Linked DNA regions of Macaca fascicularis. The protein of the gene in region 3 purifies or fractionates together with the protein of the main gene of each other region. This does not show direct contact. Links are inferred from orthologs where the notes say so. Each region holds a gene or a part of one and is shown on either strand. Other genes may lie near its edges. The genes, in order: CHD3, CDK2AP1 and ZNF219.

The links.
Region 1: the proteins of ZNF219 (region 3) and CHD3 purify together in Homo sapiens (affinity purification with mass spectrometry; 3 studies listed by BioGRID and IntAct, counting the BioPlex papers as one, with this or other methods). This does not show direct contact. The link is inferred for Macaca fascicularis from reciprocal best matches to the Homo sapiens genes ZNF219 and CHD3.
Region 2: the proteins of ZNF219 (region 3) and CDK2AP1 purify together in Homo sapiens (affinity purification with mass spectrometry; 3 studies listed by BioGRID and IntAct, counting the BioPlex papers as one, with this or other methods). This does not show direct contact. The link is inferred for Macaca fascicularis from reciprocal best matches to the Homo sapiens genes ZNF219 and CDK2AP1.

What each region holds. Positions count from the first base shown.
Region 1 is NC_088390.1:7,962,092-7,966,137, reverse strand, and holds part of CHD3 (chromodomain-helicase-DNA-binding protein 3), read right to left. Parts: coding exon 4,013-4,046; intron 3,774-4,012; coding exon 3,623-3,773; intron 3,474-3,622; coding exon 3,280-3,473; intron 2,958-3,279; coding exon 2,724-2,957; intron 2,536-2,723; coding exon 2,332-2,535; intron 796-2,331; coding exon 584-795; intron 1-583.
Region 2 is NC_088385.1:130,399,836-130,404,645, reverse strand, and holds the start of CDK2AP1 (cyclin-dependent kinase 2-associated protein 1), read left to right. Parts: upstream 1-1,735; 5' UTR 1,736-1,932; coding exon 1,933-1,987; intron 1,988-2,330; exon of another isoform or gene 2,331-2,654; intron 2,655-3,257; exon of another isoform or gene 3,258-3,360; intron 3,361-4,810. UniProt on the Homo sapiens protein: Inhibitor of cyclin-dependent kinase CDK2. Also acts as a component of the histone deacetylase NuRD complex which participates in the remodeling of chromatin.
Region 3 is NC_088381.1:88,762,693-88,767,472, reverse strand, and holds the start of ZNF219 (zinc finger protein 219), read left to right. Parts: upstream 1-1,842; 5' UTR 1,843-1,998; coding exon 1,999-2,180; intron 2,181-2,923; exon of another isoform or gene 2,924-3,057; coding exon of another isoform or gene 3,058-3,173; intron 3,174-4,780. UniProt on the Homo sapiens protein: Transcriptional regulator. Recognizes and binds 2 copies of the core DNA sequence motif 5'-GGGGG-3'. Binds to the HMGN1 promoter and may repress HMGN1 expression. Regulates SNCA expression in primary cortical neurons.

The DNA.
Region 1 (4,046 bases), on a different chromosome or scaffold from region 3:
GCAATTATCAGCAAACACACAAAATTTGTCACCCAACCTTCAACAGTGGGCGCTGGAAGGGACGTGAGAATAGTTAACCTGGCAGCCTAACCTTCTCAGGATGGTATCCTAAAAATCAACTATCACAAAACATTCCTGGAGATCCCTCCTTATATCATTTGTTCACCTAATCACTAAGTATTTTCCTCATGGACCTCAGAGTCTCATGGGGAAGACAGCATTGAAATAACTAAATAAATACCGTAACTTTAGGCAGTAATAAGTACCATGAAGAAGAAATATTCAGAACACTGGTCTGGATGAATTATGTCTCTCATGTTTTGCTTTCATGCCCTCATCCCCAGACTCATGTGCTATGTCTTATGCCACTGGAGATGACAAAAGAGGCACTGCCTGGCCGAACTTTCCTCCTGTTTTCTCCCATTCCCCTGGAGGAAACAAGGCCAGAAAGGCTGAAGCTACAGCAGAGGTTATCAAGGTTAGATCAATTACCTGGTTAATCAGCAAATACTAACATGAGGCTATCACCATGGTAAGAATAGTGTCATATACCAGGTCTTACTTCCCAGGGCCAAGGATTCACCTGTGGTTGATGATACGGTGGACAGTCATCCACTCTGGCTTGATGCCAAAACGATAGTACTTCTCCTCCATCTCAGCATAGTGTGGGTCTTTCACTTTACGCTTGTCACTCTTCCCATCATCCTCGCCGGAGCCATAGTCCAGGGGCGGGGGCTCATCCATGTCATTCTTCCGCTGGTAGTTTCGGTACATAACCAAATGGAAGATTTCCAGCTGATAGGGCACAGAAAAACGAGGAAGAGACAGGCCTGACACTCACAGAGGACAACAGGGAACGGGGAAGAGGCCAGCAGGAGGAATGGGACAGGGAAAGAGAGCTATGAAAAAGGATAGATTGGCTGGGCGCGGTGGTTCATGCCTGTAATCCCAGCACTTTGGGAGGCTCAGGGGTGCGGATCACCTGAAGTCAGGAGTTCAAGACCAGCCTGGTCAACATGGAGAAACCCTATCTCTACTAAAAATACATAAATTAGCCAGGTGTGGTGGCACATGCCTGTAATCCCAGATATTCAGGAGGCTGAGGCAGGAGAATCTCTTGAACCCATGAGGTGGAGGCTGTAGTGAGCCAAGGTCGCGCCACTGCACTCTAGCCTGGGCAATAAGAGAATAACAGGCGCGTCCCAGCACTTTGGAAGGTTGAGGCAGGTGGATCACCTGAGGCTGGGAGTTCGAGATCAGCCTGATCAACATGGAGAAACCCCATCTCTACTAAAAATACAAAATTAGCCGGGCGTGGTGGCGGGCGCCTGTAATCCCAGCTACTTGGGAGGCTGAGGCAGGAGAATCGCTTGAACCCGGGAGGCAGAGGTTGCAGTGAGCCAAGATCGTGCCACTGCACTCCAGCCTGGGCAACAAGAGCAAAACTCCATCTCAAAAAAAAAGAAAAGAAAAAAGAAAGGAAGAAAAAGGATGGATTAGAGACAAATGAGTCAAAGTCAAAACAGGAGAATAAATAAAATGAAACAGATGCAACAGTTTCAGAAGACACGGCCTGGGTGGGGCTGTTATGAGCAAAAGGAGATAGGGAATGGGGTTATAAACATTGAGATTTTTTTTTTTTTGAGATGGAGTCTCGCCCTGTAGCCCAGGCTGAAGTGCAGGGGCACGATCTTGGCTCACTGCAAGCTCCGCCTCCCGGGTTCACACCATTCTCCTGCCTCAGCCTCCCGAGTAGCTGGGATTACAGGCGCCCACCACCATGCCTGGCTAAATGTTTTGTGTTTTTAGTAGAGACGGGGTTTCACTGTGTTAGCCAGGACGGTCTCGATCTCCTGACTTCAGGTGATCCGCCTCCCTCGGCCTCCCAAAGTGCTGGGATTATAGGCGTGAGCCACCGCACCCAGCCGATAATTTTGTTTTTTTAAATAGAGATAGGGTTTCACTATGTTGCCTAGGCTGGTCTCAAGCAATCATCCTCCCCTGGCCTCCCAAAGTGCTAAGATTATAGGTGTGAGCCACTATGCCCAGCCAGGAATATTATAAAACATGGAAAAAGATAGATAAGGAAGGACGTGAAGTTAAGAAAGGCTATGCTATATCTGAGGGAAGAAAGCTAATGGAGACTGAGAGAAAGAGGACTGTAGACCAAAAGAACCACAGATGGAAACTAAGCAAGTAGGGTATAAAGGCCAGAGGCCTGAAACGAGAGAAAATGAAGGGTATGGGAACCCAGCAAACAGAGGAGTAAGAGAGGGAGAGGATGGCAGGAAATGAGGTCATGGGGGAGAGGGAAAGCAAAGGTCCTAGTACCTGAAGCTCCTTGGCCCAGGAGCAGTGCCAGTAGGATAGTCCCACCCACTTGACAAAGAACTCTCGCTCTGATCTGCCTTGAAGAGGACGCGGGGCTGGGACATCTGGATTCCCGTCTGCCTGTTGAGGGGCTGGCATTGCTACAGGCGGCTCCCCCCACCGCCAATGCAAGATCTTCTGCACTCGACCCTTCAGCACAGGGCACTTTGGGATGGACATGTACAAGGAGAAGGAAAAAAAAGAGGCAGACAGAACCCATCGTTAGATGACAGGATAGGGGTCCCACAGAGTGGGGGAGTGCAGAGAAAGGAAAAGCTGGACATGTGGGCCCCAGGGATGGGGGAAGGGATCAGGCCCGACAGTAAATACAGAGGGGAGATGTTTCCACTCACTGTGCATCGGGGACACAGCCATTCACCATTGGGAATGTCAGGCAGGGGAGGGTTTAGACAATGAATGTGGTAGGAAGAGATGCACGCGTCACAGCACAGCAGCTCCCCGCCGTCCTTGCACACGCGGCAGTACTCCATGTGATCATCCTCCTCCTCCTTCTCCCCTTCCTCCTCTCCCTCCTCTTCGTATTCCTCCTCTTCCTCTTTGGCCTCCCACTGGACCCCCTCCTTCTCCTAGGGGGCCAAGGACAGACACACAGACAGATGGCAGAAGTTAAGGAATGAAACTGGAAGATACAGGCAAAGACAGGACACCTGAATCCTAGAAGTGCAGAGAAGACTGGTGGGAACTAAAGAAAAGGACACTCCAGTTTCAGAAATGCTGATTCTGGGAGCAAAGGTGTGGGAGAAAGGAATACATTAGGATCCTAGACACTTGGACATCTGTTACTAAGAAGTCCAGCCATCTGGGGGTAGGAAGAGGGTAAGTGAAACCAAGGGGGAAAGAGATGGGTGGGTTCCTCAGGGTCATCAGATGCTGGCATTAGGTACTCACACAGTGAGGGCAGCTCCATTTGCCCTCGGGAGCCCGGTCAAGCTCAGGATCAAGGCAGACGAGGTGGTAGGCACGAGGGCAGGTGTCACACAGAATAATTTCCCCACCCTGCTGGCACACCTCACAGTAATCCTGGTGATCCGTCTCGTAGCCATCAACCTCCTCCTCCCCGGCCACTGCAGGACAGCCCAGGACTGTCATATACCCCGGTGGAGGGATAAGGAAGTGGGGCAGGGGGAGATGGAGAGAGAGAGGGAGAAGGGTTGAAGAGAGAAGTCAAAATTGAAAATAAGAATGAGAGGATGGCCCACTGACAGGATCACACGCAGTCAACACTCCTTACCCTTCTTCTTCTTCCTTCCTGGCCGGCCTCTCTTTAGTTTCTTGGTGCGGACAGGGCCATCAGGCCGGCCTGAGGCACTGTGGACACTGCCACTGTCCAGGTCTGACTCCTCAGCCTCTGGTTCAGGACCTTCGTCACTCTGAAAAACATACTGCCCATAGCCCCATGGCCGTCAGTGAGGCAGACTTCATTCCACGCCCTCCCCAGGCCTTTGGCTTCCTGCTCCGTCGTCCCTCACAGATCCGTCTCTGGATCCTTGTCCGTCACGGATCCCTGTCTCTGGATCCTTGGCCCTCACAGATCCCTGTCTCTGGATCCTTGGCCCTCACGGATCCCTGTCTCTGGATCCTTGGCCCCCAGGTGTTTAGCAGACAGGGATGGGTCACTCACCGAGCCTCCTTTCTTCCTCTTGCCACCCAGCAGC
Region 2 (4,810 bases), on a different chromosome or scaffold from region 3:
CCACTGCACTCCAGCCTGGGTGACAGAGGGAGACAATGTGGAAATAGATTGGTTCAGAGTACTCATAGAAGGGACTGGGCCTGCCAGTGAGATCTGGATTCTTGCCCCGAGGAAATGGAGGCCTAGTCAAACAGTCAGTGGGTGGGGGAGTCAGAGTCAGTACCCGGTGTGTATGCCTCAGGAGCCCTCTGCTAGTAGCTGCAGCCCTGCACTGTTCAATATGGTGACCCCTAGCTGTGGTGGCTACTGAGCGCTGAAACGTCGCTACTCTGAATTAAAATGTGCTGTAAGTATAAAACACACACTGGATTGCGAAGACTTAGTATAAGAGAATGTAAAGTGTCTTATTAATAATTCCCTTTAATTCATTATATAGTGAAATCATGCTGTTCTGGAGCTATTGTTAAATAAAACATGTTAAAATCAATTTCACCGGTGTTTTTTTACTTTCTCAAATGTGACTACTGAAAAATTGAAAATTACTTATGTGGCTGGCATGCTATTTCCATTGGACAGTGCTGCTCTAGAGGACTAGGCGCCTGGGACCAGCCACATGGGTGGCATTAATTTATTCATGGAATAAGGTTTCACTGAGCATCCTTCGCTAGTGCTGGTCTACAGCTGATCTCAAGGGTGGGGGTTAAGCTGGGGAGGGGGTGTCGTCGCCTGCACCTTTGGTCCTAAAGGAGAAGGCAGGCCTGGGTGGGCATCCCTAGGTGGGTGCTTTTGTTACCAGATCCGGAGATGATGCTTGCACGGCTGTGTCTAATTAAATCTGCAAACCATGGCGATTAAAAACAACAGAAAAGGGTGGGCATCTTATGTATTTTAACGAGCTTTACTACTTCGGCAGAACTCCAAAATTAAAAAAAAAAAAAAAAAAAAAAAGAAAAAGAAAAAAAAGAGAACAAACCCACAACCTTTAGGTTATTCATCTAATCCAAATCCAAAATACACTCGATGATTACATTTCAATCAGATCCGAAGATGGGCTGGGGGTGGGGTCGAAGGAAGATTTAAATTGCCCCGTAAAACTCCAGGGGGTAGAAACTTTGCCAAGTTCAGTTCTTGTATCCTCAGCGCTTGGAACAGTGAGTGGCGCATAGTAGGTGCTTCCCTTAAATACTGGAGTGAGTCTACGCACGAAATTGTGCGATTCAGGGGTGAGTTTTCCGGGAAGGGGGATGAGGGGTGGAGAAGGCCTCTAGCTTTTGTCAGTCTCACAGGAGTCTTGGATCCCCAAAGGGTTAAAAACCACTTCATAAAGACAGGGACATGAAATTTATTTGAAATCAATGTCAAGCATCAGTTATTCGAATCCTGGGGCTTGGCCAGACCCGGGCGTCTGGAATGATCTACGTGCTTAAATACACCACTCGCCACCATTTTCTCCAGGTAATTTTCCATCCCTGCCCCCACCGTCAAGGGGAAGAAAGTGCTCCTCGGATCCCGGCCGCCCTGGCCTCCTGCAGCTGCCGCGGGGGCGGCCCCCAGTGCACCCCTGGAGCGCCCGGCGCGGGGCGGCCGCCCGGACGCGCGCGGGCCTCAGGCGCCGCCGGGACCCCAGCCCCCCAAACTTTGGCAAGTTGCGGGCGCCGAGCGCACCCGGAGGCGCGGGGCGCGGCCGCAGGCGGAGCCGCCCCCTGACGCCGGGCCGCCCCCTCCCGGCCCCGGCCGCCCCGCCGGCTCCGCGGAAAGTTTGCGGCCGCCCCTGCGCCGCGCCCGGGGCCTGGGTGAGACTGCGGCGGCGGCAGGGCGCGGACGGCCATATTTGCCGGCGCGGCCCGAGCCGCCGACAACAAAAAGTGCGCGGGCGCTCGGCGGGCGCTCGGACGGGCGCGGGGCTGCCACGCTGCCGCCCGGCCTCGCCGCCGCCGCCGCCGCCCTCGCGGCCTGGCCCCGCCGCGCCCGGCGCGCCCGCCGCCCGGGGGGATGTCTTACAAACCGAACTTGGCCGCGCACATGCCCGCCGCCGCCCTCAACGCCGGTGAGTGAGCCGCGTGCGACGCGCCCCGAGCGCCGCCAAGTTGGGGGTCCGCGCGCCCAGCCCCGGCCGGGGGATGCCGTGGGCGCCCGCGGAGGCCGGGGGCGGGGGGCTCAGGGTCCCGGCCCGGGGCAGCGCTGCCGCCGCCATGATTTCCGAGCCCGCGCCGCCAAAGTTCGCTGGTGCGCCCCGCACGCCGAGGGCCTTGGCTGGGGGTGCGGGGCGGGCGGCCTGGGGTGACCCCCGCGCCGGCGGCTGCGGATCGCAGGGAGCGCGGCGGGCGAGGGCGAGGGCGGGGGAGGCTTGTTCTCGTCTCCTTTTTCCTCCCGCTTCTGGGCGGCTCGGCGAGGGCCCCTGCCGGCGGGAGTCGGGAGCGGCCCGGGCCGCGCCGGGAGCGGGGAGCGGGGCGCGGGGCGCGGGGCCCCGCCGCCCTGGGGAGCGGGGTCGTGGAGCGGCCCGGGCGGGAGACGCTGCGGGCAGGGCCAGGCCCCGCGCGGGCCGGCGCGGGCGGAGGGCTGCGGGGCTGCCGCGGGCCCTGAGGTCGTGGGGCCGCCGGGACTGGGACCGGGATGGGGTCGCCGGTGGGCAGCGGACTCGGAGGCCGGGGGGCCTCGGCCGGGCGCGTGGGAGCAGGGACTGCCCCATGCGGTCACGCGGGGATCCCCGTAAGGTGTGCGCGGAGTGAACGAAGTTGGCGCAGTCCTGGGGCTGCTAGGGCCCGCGCGCGGGCGTGGGGGCAGGGGGTCACGCGGACGCCCCATCTGGGAGCCCCCAGGGCTGATCCGGGAAGGCCCTCGATGCAGAAGCCGGGAGGGGCTCCCCTCGACCTTCCTGGGGCTGCGGCGGCAGCCGGGCGCTCCCAGGAAACTCCTCCAGAAGTTGTCAGGCAGCTTCGGGCTGAGCCCAGGGGACCGAGGGAGCCATGGGGAGTGGGCGCAACATTGAGGGATTGGTAGGTGCCGGGCTTTGTGACCTCACTGGGGCCCCTCTTCTCTGACACTTGGTCGGAAACAGACTTCCCAAAAGGCGGTTGTGTTGCGGGGCGTGGGGGGTAAGGACTCGGAGGGAAAGGAGTGGCCCCGTTGGTCACCGGTGCCACGCTGGCTCTCCTGCTCGAGTTTTGGGCCTTGTTTGCAAACGTTGACTTCATAAACCTCCCACATCCGAAGTAGGACCCATAAAAACGATATTTAAAAAAACCTTGGACACTGAGGTGTAGGGGCAGGAAAGGGTTAATCGTCAGGGTGCTGAGGGAGAGTTGAATTGCTCACTTGTGGGCTCGGAGTCCCAAAGAGCAAACAGCCACTGTTTTCTTCTCAAACATTCTCACCTCCTCTGGGGTCCGCAGACCTTACAAAGACGGGCTTTGTTGCCAGGTAGGACTGCCAGCAGCGTTCTTCCTCTGGCCTGTGGGGAGGGCAGGGGCTGGTGTTGCCAGCCTGGGCAAGGCTGACAGCTCAGGCTTGACCTGGTGTCATTGGGGCCGGGGCCTTAAACTGGGACCTTCAGGGTTTGGGGTCACAGGGATAGCGGCACTCACGGGGACCCCTGAAGTCCTGTTCTGAGCTGGCTGCACCTGTATTCAGCTTTTCTTCTCTTTCTCCTGTGGAGAATTTCAGGAGTGCCGAGATCCCCAGATCTGGGCTTTTTGGTGCCCCTCCCTCTCCCCCATGGACCCTTTTGCAGAACCCCAGCTCCCCTCCTGCCATTTGCATCCAAGATGGACTCTCCGCTGCTGCCGCTGCTCCTCCGGCTTCCTTGTCATCATCCCTCACGCCCTGCAGCCCTGCCTCCTGCTCACGGGTTGCCAAGCCGCGGCCTGGCCGGTGGTGGCAGTGGCGGAGTTAGACAAAGCCCCCGCCTCCCCCGCCCCAGAGCCCCCCAGGCGCCCCAAGTGGCGGGAAGGCCGCCAGCTCCCCAGGCCCCGGCGCTCTTTGTCTGGCGTGGGGGCGGGGAGCCGCGCCTGGCCCCAGGAGCTTCCTGGCCTCTGCCAACCCCTCGCTCCTGCACACTGCGCTCATTGTCTGAGATGCGCCGAGACGGCCTGCGCTGACGTGGTCCCTGTGTCCCGGTCCCTGTGTCTGCAGGAAGGAGTGACCATGAGTGGAACTCGGGGCATTTCCGCCATCTCTCTCCAGGACTAGACACCCCCCACCCAACCCTGAACAAGGGACTGGCCTGGACAGAGCATTGGAGTCACCGAGCTATTGCTCCTCGTCCCCCCAGCCAAAATGGGACAATTTCTCATTCCTCCTTCCTCTCAGCCCCGCAAAACCTAACCCCAGTATCATCAAATAGTAGGGTCTGGAGCCTGTAGACCTTCTCTTGGGAAGCACTGCCTCTAACAAATGGAGAAACTGAGGACTGGAGGGCGGGGGGCCTGTCTGAGGTCACACAGCCAGGAGTGGCACAGCTGGGGCTGGCGCCAAGTCCAGTGGGGAGGACAGAAAAGGAGAGGTGAGGAGCAGTGGGCAAAGCAGTTGGGGAAGAGGACGGGGGCACACCGAGTTGATTCGAGGGTGCGTGGGAAGTGGCTAGCGCCCCTCCTGCCAGGCTGCTGGGATCTTGCAAACGCCCAGGGTGCTGTGCTCTATGGTCCCTCCCAGAAACTGGCCCTCGAGGCCAGAGAGGTGTAGCTACCAGGATCGAAACCCAGGTCTCTGCCAGCAGAGCCTGTGTTCCCCATGCCACGCTTGCTGCCACATCAGAAGCTCAGGAAACTGGGGTTTGGCTGATGTGGTGAGGGGGCGCTGGGGGACATCGCCCTGCCCAATTCCTGCAGTGGCCGTGGACGTGCCGGATATCGCGGGCGTAGTGCTTCCCCAT
Region 3 (4,780 bases):
GAAGGATGCTGTTGCAACAATTAATATTTTTGAGAGAGAAGGTGCCTCATAGCCAGACAGACCTGGACTGGAATCTTAGCTCTGCTGCTTCTCCATCTGTGTGATCTTGGATACATTATTATTATTGTTATTATTATTATATTATTGAGAGAGGGGCTCACTGTCACCCAGGCTGGAATGCAGTGGCATGATCATGGCTCACTGTAGCCTACACATTCTGGGCTCAAATAATCATCCTGCCTCAGCCTCTCAAGTAGCTGGGATCACAGGCACATGCCACCATGTCTGGCTAATTTTTAAATTTTTTGTAGAGACAGGGTCTCACAGTGTTGCCTAAGCTGGTCTCAAACTCCTGGGCTCAAGTGATCTCCCCTCCTTGGCCTCCCAAACTGCTGGGATTACAGGTGTGAGCCACTGTGTGTGTCCTGATAGATACGTTTTTCTACCTATTCGAACCTCAGTTTGTTCACTGATAAAAGGGGGCTAACAATATGACTATGAAGAGTTGTTGATTCAGGGTGGGTGCTTACTATTAGTGGTGCTGATGAGGTCAAACTGATGAGCCTGATGCCCATACACTAAAGGTGTTATTCAGCAGGTGAGCTGGGGACACATTTCTACAGTCAGAAGCACAACCAGCTGGGCCCAAATATAGTCTATAGATCAAAACAAATCCCAGGTCTACCTGGGTGCCCTTGGCAAGTTGCTTAATCTCTCTGTTCCCTTATCTATAAAAGGAAGTTAATAATACCAGTCTCAAGGGGTTGCTTTCAGCATGGAAGAGAGCTTAGCCCAGTATCTGGCACACAAGTGCTCAATGTTAGTGGCTATGATCATCATCACTATTACTTCTTGTTGTTGACGGTAAGAGGAGACTGCGCCAGAAGACTCTAGAAGTTAGTAGAGGAGGCACGGTCCTGGGAGGCAAGTGATCTTTTGTAAGCCACTCCTGCCCCATCAGTGCTGTGCCAACATCGGCGGGGCACTGTATCTACTTTTTTCTTTCCCGGGGAGTGGGAGTCACGTTTTAAAGAGATCCAGAAAACTGTTGTGTATCTACTCCTCCTCAATTCCCATGTGCATTGATTTTATTTGGTGGCGATGTGAGATGTTGGGCTTGCACTGAGGATCCCTGAGCCTGCAGGCCATTGGGGAAAGAGACTTCCTGAAGCCTCATTTTTCTTACTTGTAAATGGGGACTAATTTTATTATAGAGGGTTATTGGAAAGATTATAAACTATTAGATAGGTGAACAGGCATTCAGTAAATATTGAATAAATCTGAGTATACTACTTACTAGTTTGTAGTCTAGACTACAATCGCCTGGAAGGAAGGTACCACTTCTCTCTCATCCCTCACAGCGCTGAGCCCAGTGCCTGGCACTTAGTAAGCACTCAGTAAATATTTGTTGTATTGAAGAGCCATTAAAGTGACTTGAGGGATGGAAAATAGAATTCGAGAGGAAGGAGCAGGAATTGTTTATCAAGAACGGAAAGGACCGAAGAGTAACTTTAATAATGTTTCTTATACGGCCGACATTAACTATCTCTATAATCGCCCCTCCTCCTCCCCCAAAAGAGAGACAGAAATTGTAAGGGAGAGGCTTTGAGATAAAACCCCAGGAAGAACTTCCCGAGTCTGTGCATGTTGGGGCAGAAAGAGCGGCAGAGCCAACTCCTTCCCTGGTATGTCCGGGTTTAGGGAGGGAGGGGCAGTGCTGCTTGGAGGCTGGGGGAAGGACGAGATGACCTTTCAAAATCTCTTCCAGTCTCCTGTTGGAATCCTCTGTGCGCCCCACCCCCGCTCCCTCCCTTACTCCCTCCGACAGCGCCCCCCGTCTCCAAACCGCCCGCACCCCGCCCCTGGCGGCCGCCTCTCGCGGCTCCCGGGGTCCCCAGCTCCCTGTCCCCGGAGCCAGAGCCCGGCTCCCGCGCGGCTCCCAGCCCCGCCGCGCCGCCCCCCGCATGCTAATGGCCGGGCCGCCTCCCGCCGCACACAATGCGGGCCAGGGCCGGGGGCGGGGGACCGGGGAGGGGGCGGGGGCCGGGCCGGGGGCGGGGGGGCCGGGGCCCGGCGCATCTCCCCCGGCCCCACGTAACGCTGACGCCCGCGCCGCCGGCCCGCCGCCCGCCGCCGCCGCCGCCGCCGCCGCCCGCTCCGCCGCCGCCCGCCCGGGGCTCGTGAGTAGCCGCTCCCCCCACTCCCGGGCCCCCCCGTCCGCCACCCGGCCCCCGCCCCCGGCCCCCTCCCCCCCTCCCGGAGGGGGGGCCCGCTCAGCGCGCCCGGCTCGGAGCAGGTGCAGGGGGCGGGGGCGGGGGAGGGGCGCCGGCTCGGCCCCAAGCAAACTTCGCCCAGAGCTCCTGGGGGGGCGGGGTGGGGGTGGCGGCCTCGGAAGCCTGGAGAGCTGGGGGGCCCCAAGGAAGGGGGGGCCAGGTGGAGGAGCTGGGGGAGCAGACACCAAAGGGAAGGGCCAACGGGGGGGATGTGGCGGGGGAGGTGGCGGGTGTCTTTGTAGGGGCCCGAAGGCAGGGCGCGAGGGGCCTGGGGGTGAGGGGCGGCAGAGCCGCGAGCCTGAGTGGATGTGCACCCCTCAACCCCCGGCCCAGGTAGGGCTGGTGGGGGAGGGGGAAGGAGCCCAAACTCTCCGGGAGCACGGGGTGGCGGGGGAGGGGAGAGGATGGGGGGTGCTTCCCTCTTTGCGTCCCAAACAAAGTGTCACAAAGAGCTCGGCCCGCGGCAGCAGCGGAGGCGGCTGTAACTCAGCTTTTGTTCTCCTGGCCGGGGGTAGCTGAGCCTTGGCCTCCCTATCTCCCAACCCTGCCCCCCATCATCCTTCTGGCTTATCTTCCTGGGGAGGGGTCTGAGGTGCTGCTGGAAAAACCTCTCGGGCAGGATTGCAGGTCCTACCCTACTTAGCAATCTATTTCTGGGAGGGGGATTTTCCCAGAGGCTCCCTTGGTCACCCCTACGTCCCAGTCTGAGGACTGAGGCTCACGTGGGTGCTAATACTGACTTTTCTAGGGTCAGCTCTACTTAAGGGGACTTAGGGCTGTCAACATGACCCCCGTTCCCAAACCCAGGTCCTCCAGAACTTTCAAAATCAAAATCGGGGTTGCGTTAGGACATGCCTCTGGGATAAGATTCCCCATGGTGGGATGGCAGCAGGTGAGCAGGTGTGCCTTCCTCTTGCTTCCTGCTGTACCTTTGGAGTCCATGGCTGAGGTTCCATGTCTCCAACTCAGGAGAGTGAGGACACAGGGAAGGAGGCTTTACCAAGAACTCAGTCTAAAAAGGCTGGCGAGCTGCAGAGTGGAGTGGGTTTGGAGGAGCTATCTGAGCAGTGAGGTTCAGAGGGCCATGGAGAGGAGACCATAAAAGTGAACTACTGGTGTGTGTGTGTGATCAAGGTAGTCTTGACTGTAGACCGCCCTAGAAGCTCCCTTTGCTTTTAACCCCATCTAGTGCAGTGGTAATCATAATTGTTAGCAGATTCGGGAGGTGTAGGATTCTCAAGAGGGAAAACTGTTGTGTTAGAGGTGACCAGAGGCAGTTACAACTGGACCCCAGAAGTCCTGAACCCTTGCTCCTTACACTTTGACCCTAAAAACTTTTGAATCACAAGACTTGAGGGACAGTCTTTGTGTTCCATTTAGCAAATACTTCTATGTACCTGTCCTTGTTGTTTCTAAGTCTTTTCACCAACCATTCCATCCTTCTCTACTGAGTAAGGTTTAGTGATCCACACCCACTTCCCTACCAGCTGCCCCAGCATGTAAGGATAATTGGCCTGTTGCTTTTGAAAGGTTTCTGATACCTATCCCTGGCCCTTCATCCTTACAGAATCCAAATAAGGGCAAGATAACCCCTGATTCCCAGTGGGGGTGGAAAGTAGGTCAGTGCTGCTGTCTGGCCAAGTCTCGGGATGGTGTTTAAGGCCTGACTATAGAAAACTCTGTGATTATTGTCCAGGGCAATATATGCATGACCTCGGTTCCAAGGCAGTTCATAGTATCCCAGTCCCTGTCAGTTCTTTCCCCTACTGAGAAAAAATCATGGGATCAGGTATCTGGAACCTGGTTTGATATGGAGATGATTCAGGAGATCTTGATTGGGCCTAGGAAGGTATCTCAGTGAGTTTTGTTGATTTTAGGCCACATTCTGGGGAAACTTTCCCTGCTGGGGAATTCAGCTTCAGTTTGGGCCTTCTTGTATATCACTCTATTTCTGTTCTGGAAACTGCTATGTGCAAAGTGGTTTATTGTTGTTTTGTTTTGGGATAGGAAGCTTTGCCCTATTCCCACTCTTTTTGCCTCAGATATGAGGCCAGCTTCCTATGAGATTTTGCTGGCTATCCTACAGACAGTTTTATGGGCCCTAGAATCTTCTCAGAATGAGAGTATGTGCCCATAGGTTAGTCAGCTATGACCATGCAGTATTCCCAGCCCCCCCGCCTCCACCATCTGCTTCCTCTGAATATACCAGATTGGCTGTACACCAGGATGTTCCGGGAATCCCCGGGAGAGCAACAGAATGTGATGGACCCAAATATGATGCCTCAGTAACTCATTCCAGGATGTACAAACTGTAACTGTCAGGATGCTCCTTATAGCTAATTAAAATTCTTCTAGTTACATCTATTTTCTATTAGCTCTTTCTATTTTCAGTGACATCTAAAAGGCCAAAATAATCCCTCTGGTACCACTGGGTTTTTTTCTATGGTTTTCAGATAGGAACGAAAAAAAAAAAAATGCTCTAGCTTTTCTGTGTTGTATCTGTGATG